Linked DNA regions of Callithrix jacchus. The protein of the gene in region 1 interacts with the protein of each later gene in a biochemical or structural test. Links are inferred from orthologs where the notes say so. Each region holds a gene or a part of one and is shown on either strand. Other genes may lie near its edges.

The links.
Region 2: the proteins of EZR (region 1) and ICAM3 form a complex in vitro, tested with the Homo sapiens proteins (2 studies listed by BioGRID). The link is inferred for Callithrix jacchus from reciprocal best matches to the Homo sapiens genes EZR and ICAM3.

The regions. Positions count from the first base shown.
Region 1 is NC_133505.1:165,593,197-165,597,001, forward strand, and holds part of EZR (ezrin), read right to left. Parts: intron 2,878-3,805; coding exon 2,603-2,877; intron 2,020-2,602; coding exon 1,936-2,019; intron 913-1,935; coding exon 766-912; intron 1-765. UniProt on the Homo sapiens protein: Probably involved in connections of major cytoskeletal structures to the plasma membrane. In epithelial cells, required for the formation of microvilli and membrane ruffles on the apical pole. Along with PLEKHG6, required for normal macropinocytosis.
Region 2 is NC_133523.1:9,529,811-9,534,328, reverse strand, and holds the start of ICAM3 (intercellular adhesion molecule 3), read left to right. Parts: upstream 1-1,458; 5' UTR 1,459-1,468; coding exon 1,469-1,544; intron 1,545-2,143; coding exon 2,144-2,410; intron 2,411-4,518. UniProt on the Homo sapiens protein: ICAM proteins are ligands for the leukocyte adhesion protein LFA-1 (integrin alpha-L/beta-2). ICAM3 is also a ligand for integrin alpha-D/beta-2. In association with integrin alpha-L/beta-2, contributes to apoptotic neutrophil phagocytosis by macrophages.

The DNA.
Region 1 (3,805 bases):
TCAGGAACCTCTCCCTTCTCTTTCCAGAGGTAGTTTCCTTGGGCCTCTTAAATTCAGATAGCTTCTGATCAGATCAGTCTAGAAGCTAGGGCCTATGCTGATGTCAGGGACTCACTAGGGGGAAACTTGCCCTCATGAACTAGGATGATTTTCCCGTTTATCCTCAGCAGAAAGGTGGCAAATGCACTGTATCTGAAAGAGGACTGTCTGTCCCCTGCGGAGAGGCTGGGCTCTGCTGCTCTACCCAGCTTGCTCACAAATCTCTCAACAAATTTAACTAATGCAAGGCAATTCAGGTATCTCCTGCAGACTCCCGGCATTTAGCTCAAGTGTAAACAACAGCCTGTATGTGTAGACAACACTTCAAGTCTCTCATCACACCATAAATATACCTGGTTGGATTAGCATAAACCTCTAGCCAGGAGTCCGGAACCTGGGAAGTAGTTACGATGGATGTGCTGGTACCTGCATGTAGGTGCTAGGCGGGGGGGGACCTCAAAGGCAGGAGGAGGAGAGGCAGCCTCTGTTCTATTCTGCCTTCCTCTCCCAGGCCTGAGCCCACTATTGGCCCCACCCACCATGAGACAGGATAAACCATGCCTCTGGACCACCCTCTGAGAGGGCCACAGCAGTCCAAAAGCCCTTAAAGATTCCTACTTTGGGATAGTAAGTTGCTAAATACTTCAAAAATAACCCACAAAATTGCCATTTTGCCATTGTTCCCAGGCCCACCACCCCACCTACTGAAGATAAACGTTAACTCACTTATCATCTTTTTCATAAATATTCAGTCCAAGGGCATCAACTCCAAGCCAAAGGTCTGTTCCTTTCTTGTTTTTTATCTCAAAATAGTTGATTCCATACATTTCCAGGTCCTGAGCAATCTTCAGGTATTCCAACATAGCATTATCTCTGATTGGGGAGGGTGAAACAGGCAGTCATTAGTAGCCCTCAAGATCCAGAACTGTCAAACCTTTCCAGTATTTTTAAATTAAGGCACCCTGTGTAGGATGGGCTCAAAGCTGTGTGCTGCGTGCAGACAGGCAGGGCCCGGGCAGCAGAGCAGTGAGTGGGGGACCCCTGCGGCCCGGAAGCTCTGCCTGGGGTAGACTCTGTGCTGCCCTGGACCCTGACTACCAAACCCCACACGTTCAGGAAGAACTGATTCACACTGGCTTCTCTGACAGGTTTTTAAGTTTTTTTGCTCTGCACAATCCTCCCTTTCTCTTGTCCACATGTCTTCTGGGGCTCCCACCACCCTCCTCATAGGCCGTGAGTTATTTTCCTCCCATAAAGGATGCTTGGGCCAGGCAGGAAACCCTGAAGCACAAAATCTGAGGCGCAAACCACAAACTTCAGAGGCTGAAATAATGCAGAGTTGCAAGACTAGGCCAGAGGTGAGGCTCTAGGATGAGAACACCCAGAATCGGGGATCCAGCCACATCTTACATTAATAGCCCCAAGTCCCTCTCCTCATGCCCAGGTTCTCCGATATCAGGATTTCTCACTTGGGATCCTTTTTCATTTATATATACTTTGTAAGACAACTACCTTCAAACAATGAGCAAACCAGCACCTCTTTGACAGAGAGAGAAAAAAATAATGCTTATTGCAGGTGAACAATGCCCCTCTGACTAAAATGAAGTTTAGAGATAACACATCCTCCAAAGGGAAGGTATAAGCTTTTAGAACCTGAAGGCTTGAGCTAAACTGCTTCCCTGAGCAAGACACCTGGCTTTAAAAAAAAACAAAAACAAATATCTCCCCTGAGAAAAGCCCCATGTTTAGCTCAGTTCCCGCCATGATCTTCACAGGGCACTAAGGCTGGAGCTCAGGCCTGACACAGAGCCCTTTAAAACACTATCGAGTCACAGGAAAAGACAAGCTGGAGAGCACGGAGATGGCCAGATCCCCAGAGCAACACCCAGCACTCACTTGAGCATCCCACGGTGTTCTGCATGCCACACCTGGATCCGGTCTTCCCACTGGTCCCTGGTAAGTTTGTGCTGGTCCATGACTCTGGATTGCAAAAGGAAACAGCACTGTCATCCTTAAGGGCTGTGACAGGCAAGGAAGGAGGCCCACTTACCAACCACAGTCAAATTCTTACTTTCCATTCAATCAATCAACCCTAAAGAGCTTTGGTTTCTATTTCCTGATGTGTAGCATTTCTATTTATGATGATTAACTTGGAAGACTTAGCATTTTGAATAAGAACTCATTTCTGCTGGAAAAACTAAGAAGGTATTTTAAGCGGCCTCTTCTTCCAAATGGGGCAATTTTTGTGACCATTAGTAAATAAAAGCAGACTTCATAGGGGTCAACCTATCACACCCAGGAGGAGCTAAGCAGTCAGGTTGACAAGTTTGCTATGCTGCTGCATCCCCACAGGATATGGCGGCTCTTTAGTTTCCATGAGGAATGGTAGCTCGCCTTCCCTGGCTATGCTTCAGGTCGGGTCAGTGCCTTAATGAGTAGAGTCCCAGCATGAAGGAGCACATGACCCTGTCCTTTTGTTTTTAAACTGCTTCTAATGCAATCACTTCTCCCTGCAGCGGATGGCATGACGGCTCCTGCCCAGGCCAGGTCACCCTGTGCTCACCTTTGAGGGATCAGCCGCTCAGAGCTGAGGTACCCAGACTTGTGCACATCTTTGTTGTAGTCCCCAAACTTGGCCTGCACAGCATAGGACCCCAGGAGCACGGCAGTCTCGGGGGGGCAGTAGATCTCGTCGCTAAGGATCCCTTCCTTCACTTGGAGGAAGAAAAGTTTCTGGGTGATGTCCTGGATGAGCTCCTCAGCCACATCTTCAGGGTAGAACTTGGCCCGGAACTTGAACTGGAGGGGATTCTCCTTCCTGACCTCCTGGGCGGACACCTGGACAAAGCAAACCAGACTCTCAACATGAACCGAACCCAGAAGACAAAGGCCCACTGTCCCCAACACAGGCTTCTAACCAAGACTCAATGAGGCCATCAGGCCAGTTTTCAGAAGATAATATTTATTCTTAAAGTCATCTTTTCTGCTCCAGACAAAAAAGGTTAGTCAAAAGTGCTATCACAGGCCAGGCACAGTGGCTAATATCTATAATCTCAGTGCTTTGAGAGGATAAGGCAGGAGGATCACTTGAACCGAGGAGTTGGAGACCAGCCTGGGCAATGTAAAGAGATCCCATCTCAAACATTTTTTTAAAAAGTTAGCTGGGGATGGTGGTGCATGCCTATAGTCCTAGTTACTCAAGGTAACTAGCAGGAGGAACCTTTGAGTCTAGGAGTTCCAGGCTGCAGTGAGCTATGATGGCACCACTGCACCTAGCCTGGGTGACAGAGCAAGACCCTGTCTTTGAAAACAAAACAAAAACAACAACAACAAAAAAACCAGGCTGGGCGCAGTGGCTCACACCTATAATCCCAGCACTTTGGGAAAGCTGAGGCGGGTGGATCATGAGGTTAGGAGATTGAGACCATCCTGGTTAACATGGTGAAACCCCGTCTCGACTAAAAATACAAAAAATTAGCCAGGAGTGGTGGCAGGCACCTGTAGTCTCAGCTACTCGGAAGGCTGAGGCAGGAGAATCACTGGGACTTAGGAGGCAGAGGTTGCAGTGAGCCAAGATCGTGCCACTGCACTCAAGGCTGGGTGACAGAGTGAGACTCCATCTTAAACAAAAAAACAAGTACTATCACACCCTTGCACTCAGCTGGAAATCAAAGCTACTGTGCCACTAAGCCCCAGTCCTCACGGGATGATGCTCTCAATTCTAGAGACTCAAATTTGGAAATGACCCCACAATGACTTGAAATCT
Region 2 (4,518 bases), on another chromosome or scaffold:
CCAGGAGGCAGATCCCCTCATTGGTGCCTACCCTTGGAATGAAGTGACCAGCTGCCTGGAGGGGTGAGCAAGGGGGCAATGGGATGGAGTAAAGTCCAGTTACAAATAGAATTCTGGAAGGCAGGGTGAGGTGGCTCAGGCATGTAATCCCTTTGGAGGCCAAGGCAGGTGGATCCCTTGAGGTTAGGAGTTCAAGAACAGCCTGGCCAACATGGTGAAATCCCATCTCTACCAAAAAGTGCAAAAATTAGCCGTGCATAGTGGTGCACACCTGTAGTCCCAGCTACTCGGGAGGCCGAGGCAGGAGAATCGCTTGAACCTGGGAGGCAGAGGCTGTAGTGAGCCAACATCCCACCACTGCACTCCAGCCTGGGTGACAGAGTGAGACCCTGTCTCAAAACAAAACAAAAACCAAGGAGAATCCTGGAACGACAGTGGCTCAGGGACTCAGCTGTCCCCAAAACATGTGCCTCCTCTCTTTGTGCAGGGGATGGGGGTCCCCAAGATCTTCAAGATAGGGAGGTGTCCCCAAGATCTTCAAAGGTGGCCAGGCGAGGTGGCTCAAGCCTGTAATCCCAACACTTTTTGGGGTCAAGATGGGAGGATCAGCCGTGCACAGTGGCTCATGCCTGTAATCCCAGAACCTTGGGAGGCCAAGGCGGGCAGATCATTTGAGGTCAGGAGTTCGACACCAGTCTGGCCAACATGGTGAAACCCTGTCTTTACTTAAAAAAAAAAAAAAAAAAAAATAGCTAGGTGTGGTGGTGCATGCCTGTAATCCCAGCTACTCAGGAGGCTGAGGCAGGGGAATCACTTGAACCAGGAGGTGAAGGCTGCAGTGAGCCACGGTTGCACCACTGCACTCCAGCCTGGGCAACAGAGGAAACTCTGTCTCAAAAAAAAAAAAAGAAAAATGGGAGGATCGCTTGAGGCCAGGAGTTCAAGACCAGTCGGGCCAAAACTGCAATAGCCTGTTTCTGGGTGTTTTTTTTTGTTTTTGTTTTTTGATGTTGCCTCAAAATCCCGCCTTATCGCCTAAACAATGGTGCTGGCAGGTTTCCCCACTAATTTCCTCTCTGGGGACCACATTTTCCCCTCCCCACCTAAGTTCAACCGGAAGGAGGTGTCTCATCCCCCTCCTACCCCAGGCTCCCCAGTGCTGAGAACATAGGAAGCCAGTTTACTTAGCATTTCCTGTGAATTGAACTGGGGCCAAAAATGCAACTGAGGCCAGCCCTGTCCCTGGGAGAGACAGCAGTGCTGGCCACTTTGCTGGGCCCTGTCTGGGTCCCCCACCCTAGCCTTCCAGGCCAAGCATCCCCTTCTAACCAAAGGCCTGGGCAAGGTGCAGCCCCCAGACTTCTGCAATCTTAACCGCTGTGCTGTGTGCTTCCTCTTGCGGTGGGAGCGCCCCCCCCCCCCCCCCCCGTCTGCCCTTCAGCACAAGAAGGCACCTTCCTCTGTCAGAATGGCCACCATGATACCTGCCGTGTCGTGGCTCCGGGCCTGCTGGACTCTGCTGGTCTGCTGTCTGCTGACCCCAGGTGAGGCCAGTCAAGCCAGGGAGGGCTGGGGAGGGCTGGGGAGGGCTGGGTTTTGGGATCAGTAGAGGGTGAAGAAAGAGAAAGCAATCCTCTTCGCATCCTGCCACACTGTGCCCTGGCTGCTGGCCCTGTATCTTCAGGGGAAAGTTCTGGTTCCTTAGTTCAGCCTTCAGGTGGTCAGGCCCCAGCATGCGGCTTGTACGACACCCCTCTCCCCCAACACACACACACACCCCCCACACTTCCTGCTCCATCTGAACTCCAGACATTTGCCCTTTGCGTATGTGGTTCCCTCTGCCAGGATCACCCTTTCCTTTCACTTGCTAACTCCTACTTAGCCTTCAGTTTCAGGCTGGCATGGTCCCCCTCCTCCAGGAAGCCTTCCTTGACTCACCTCTTCCTATGCCGGATCAGAGCCTCTTCTGACCTCCTTCTGAGTTCTCCCTGGTCCCTGATGGATCCTGCCTTTCCCCATGGACCATGAGGGCAGGAACCCTTCTTTCTCAGCTCAAGGAAAGTGGTGTTAAATGGTGGGACCTGCTGGTGCTAGGGTTGTGGGGCAAGGAAACCACCACCAGGACTTCTTCGTGTTCCTGAAGGTGTCCAGGGGCAGGAGTTCCTGTTGCGGGTGGAGCCCCAGAATCCAGTGCTTCCTGCTGGAGGTTCCCTGTTGGTGAACTGCAGTACTGACTGTCCCAGTGCTGAGCAGGTCACCTTGGAGACATCCCTGTCAAAGGAGCTGGTGGACAACGGCACGGGCTGGGCAGCCCACCGGGTCAGCAACGTGACTGGCAACAGCCGGATCCTCTGCTCAGGGTACTGCAATGGTTCGCAGATAATAGGCTCCACTGGCATCACCGTCTACAGTGAGTCAATGTGTCCAGAGGTGGGACGGTTCTCTGGCAGTGGTGCGGGCAGGAGGCCAATGGCTCGGGAGAGTAGGGGCCCTTAGTGTGCAAAGAATGGACTAGGGCTCTGACCCAGAGCTCAGACCTGGATATTTGTGTGTGGGATACAAAGACAGAGAGAAGGCTGGGTGTGGTGGCTCATGCCTGTAATCCCAGCACTTTGGGAGGCTGAGACGGGTGTATCACGAGGTTATGAGTTCAAGAACAACATGGCCAAGATGGTAAAACCCCATCTCTACTAAAAATACAAAAAAATTAGCCGGGCATGGTGACAGGCGCCTGTAATCTAATCTACTTGGGAGGATGAGGCAGAGAATCACTTGAACCCGGAAGGCAAAGGTTGCAGTGAGCCAAGATCCTGCCACTGCCCTCCAGCCTGGGCAACAGAGCAAGACTCCATCTCAGACAAACAAACAACAAAAAAAACAAAGAGAGAGACACACAGAGACGCAGAGACACATTCAATCTCATGCCAAGGCAGCAGTTGTGAAATCAATCAACTTCTGCCCCAACAAGTTTTTTCTTTTTTTTTTTTTTTGAGATGGAGTTTGGCTCTTTTTGCCCAGGTTGGAGTGCAGTGGGGCGATCTCAGCTCACTGCAACCTCCACCTCCTGGGTTCAAGTGATTCTCCTACCTCAGCCTCCCATGTAGCTGGGATTACAGGTGCACTCCCCCACACCCGGCTAATTTTGTATTTTTAGTAGAGATGGGGTTTCACCATATTGGCCAGGCTAGTCCTGAACTCCTGACCTCAGGTGGTCCACCTGACTCAGCCTCCCAACGTGCTGGGATTACAGGCATAAGCCACATTGCCCAGCATCCCAACAAGCATTTTTCAGTATGTGCTGGCCAGGTGCAGTAGCTCATGCCTATAATCCCAACATTTTGGGAGGCCAAGGTGGGAGCACTGCTTGAGCCCAGGAATTTTTTTTTTTTTTTTTTTTTTTGAGACAGAGTTTCGCTCTTGTTACCGAGGCTGGAGTGCAATGGCGCGATCTCGGCTCACCGCAACCTCCGCCTCCTGGGTTCAGGCAATTCTCCTGCCTCAGCCTCCTGAGTAGCTGGGATTACAGGCACGCGCCACCATGCCCAGCTAATTTTTTGTATTTTTAGTAGAGACGGGGTTTCACCATGTTGACCAGGATGGTCTTGATCTCTTGACCTCGTGATCCACCCGCCTTGGCCTCGCAAAGTGCTGGGATTACAGGTTTGAGCCACTGCGCCCGGCCTGAGCCCAGGAATTTAAGACCAGCCTGAGCAACACAGGGACACCCTGTCTCTACAGAAATAAATTTTAAAAAATTAGCTGGGCATGGTGCACATGCCTGAAGTCCCAGCTACTTCGGAGGCCAAGGTGGGAGGATTGCTTGAGCCCAGGAGTTTGAGGCTACAGTGAGATATGATTAGACCACTGTGCTCCAGTCTGCACGAAAAAGCAAGACCCTGTCTCTTAAGCCAAAAAAGGGGGTACCCCTCTCAGCCAGTAGGTGAATGGAGGTTTTTACATTTATGCTTTTTACACTTTTAGAGACAGGATCTCCTATATTGCCTAAGTTGGTCTGAAACTCATGGGCTCAGGCAGTCCTCCCACTTCAATCTCTCCAGTAGCTGGGATTACAGGCTTGAGCCACTGTCCCTGGCTATTTATTTATTTATTTTTGGAGATGGAGTCTCACTCTGTTGCCCAGGCAGGGGTGCACTGGCATGATCTTGGCTCACTGCAAGCTCCACCTCCCAAGTTCAAGAGATTCTCCTGCCTCAGCCTGCTCAGTAGCTGGGACTATGGGTGTGCATCACCCTGCCCAGCTAATTTTTGTATTTTTAGTAGAGACAAGGTTTCACCATGTTGCCCAGGCTGGTCTCGAACTTTTGGCCTTAAGTGATCTGCCCGCATTGGCCTCCCAAAGTGCTGGGATTATAAGCATGAGCCACCATGCTTGGCCTACTTTTTGATTTTTTTTTTTTTTTTTTTTTTGAGACACTCTTGCTCTTGTCGCCCAGGCTGGAGTGCAGTGGCATGATCTCAGCCTACTGCAGCCTCCACCTCCTAGGTTCAAGCGATTCT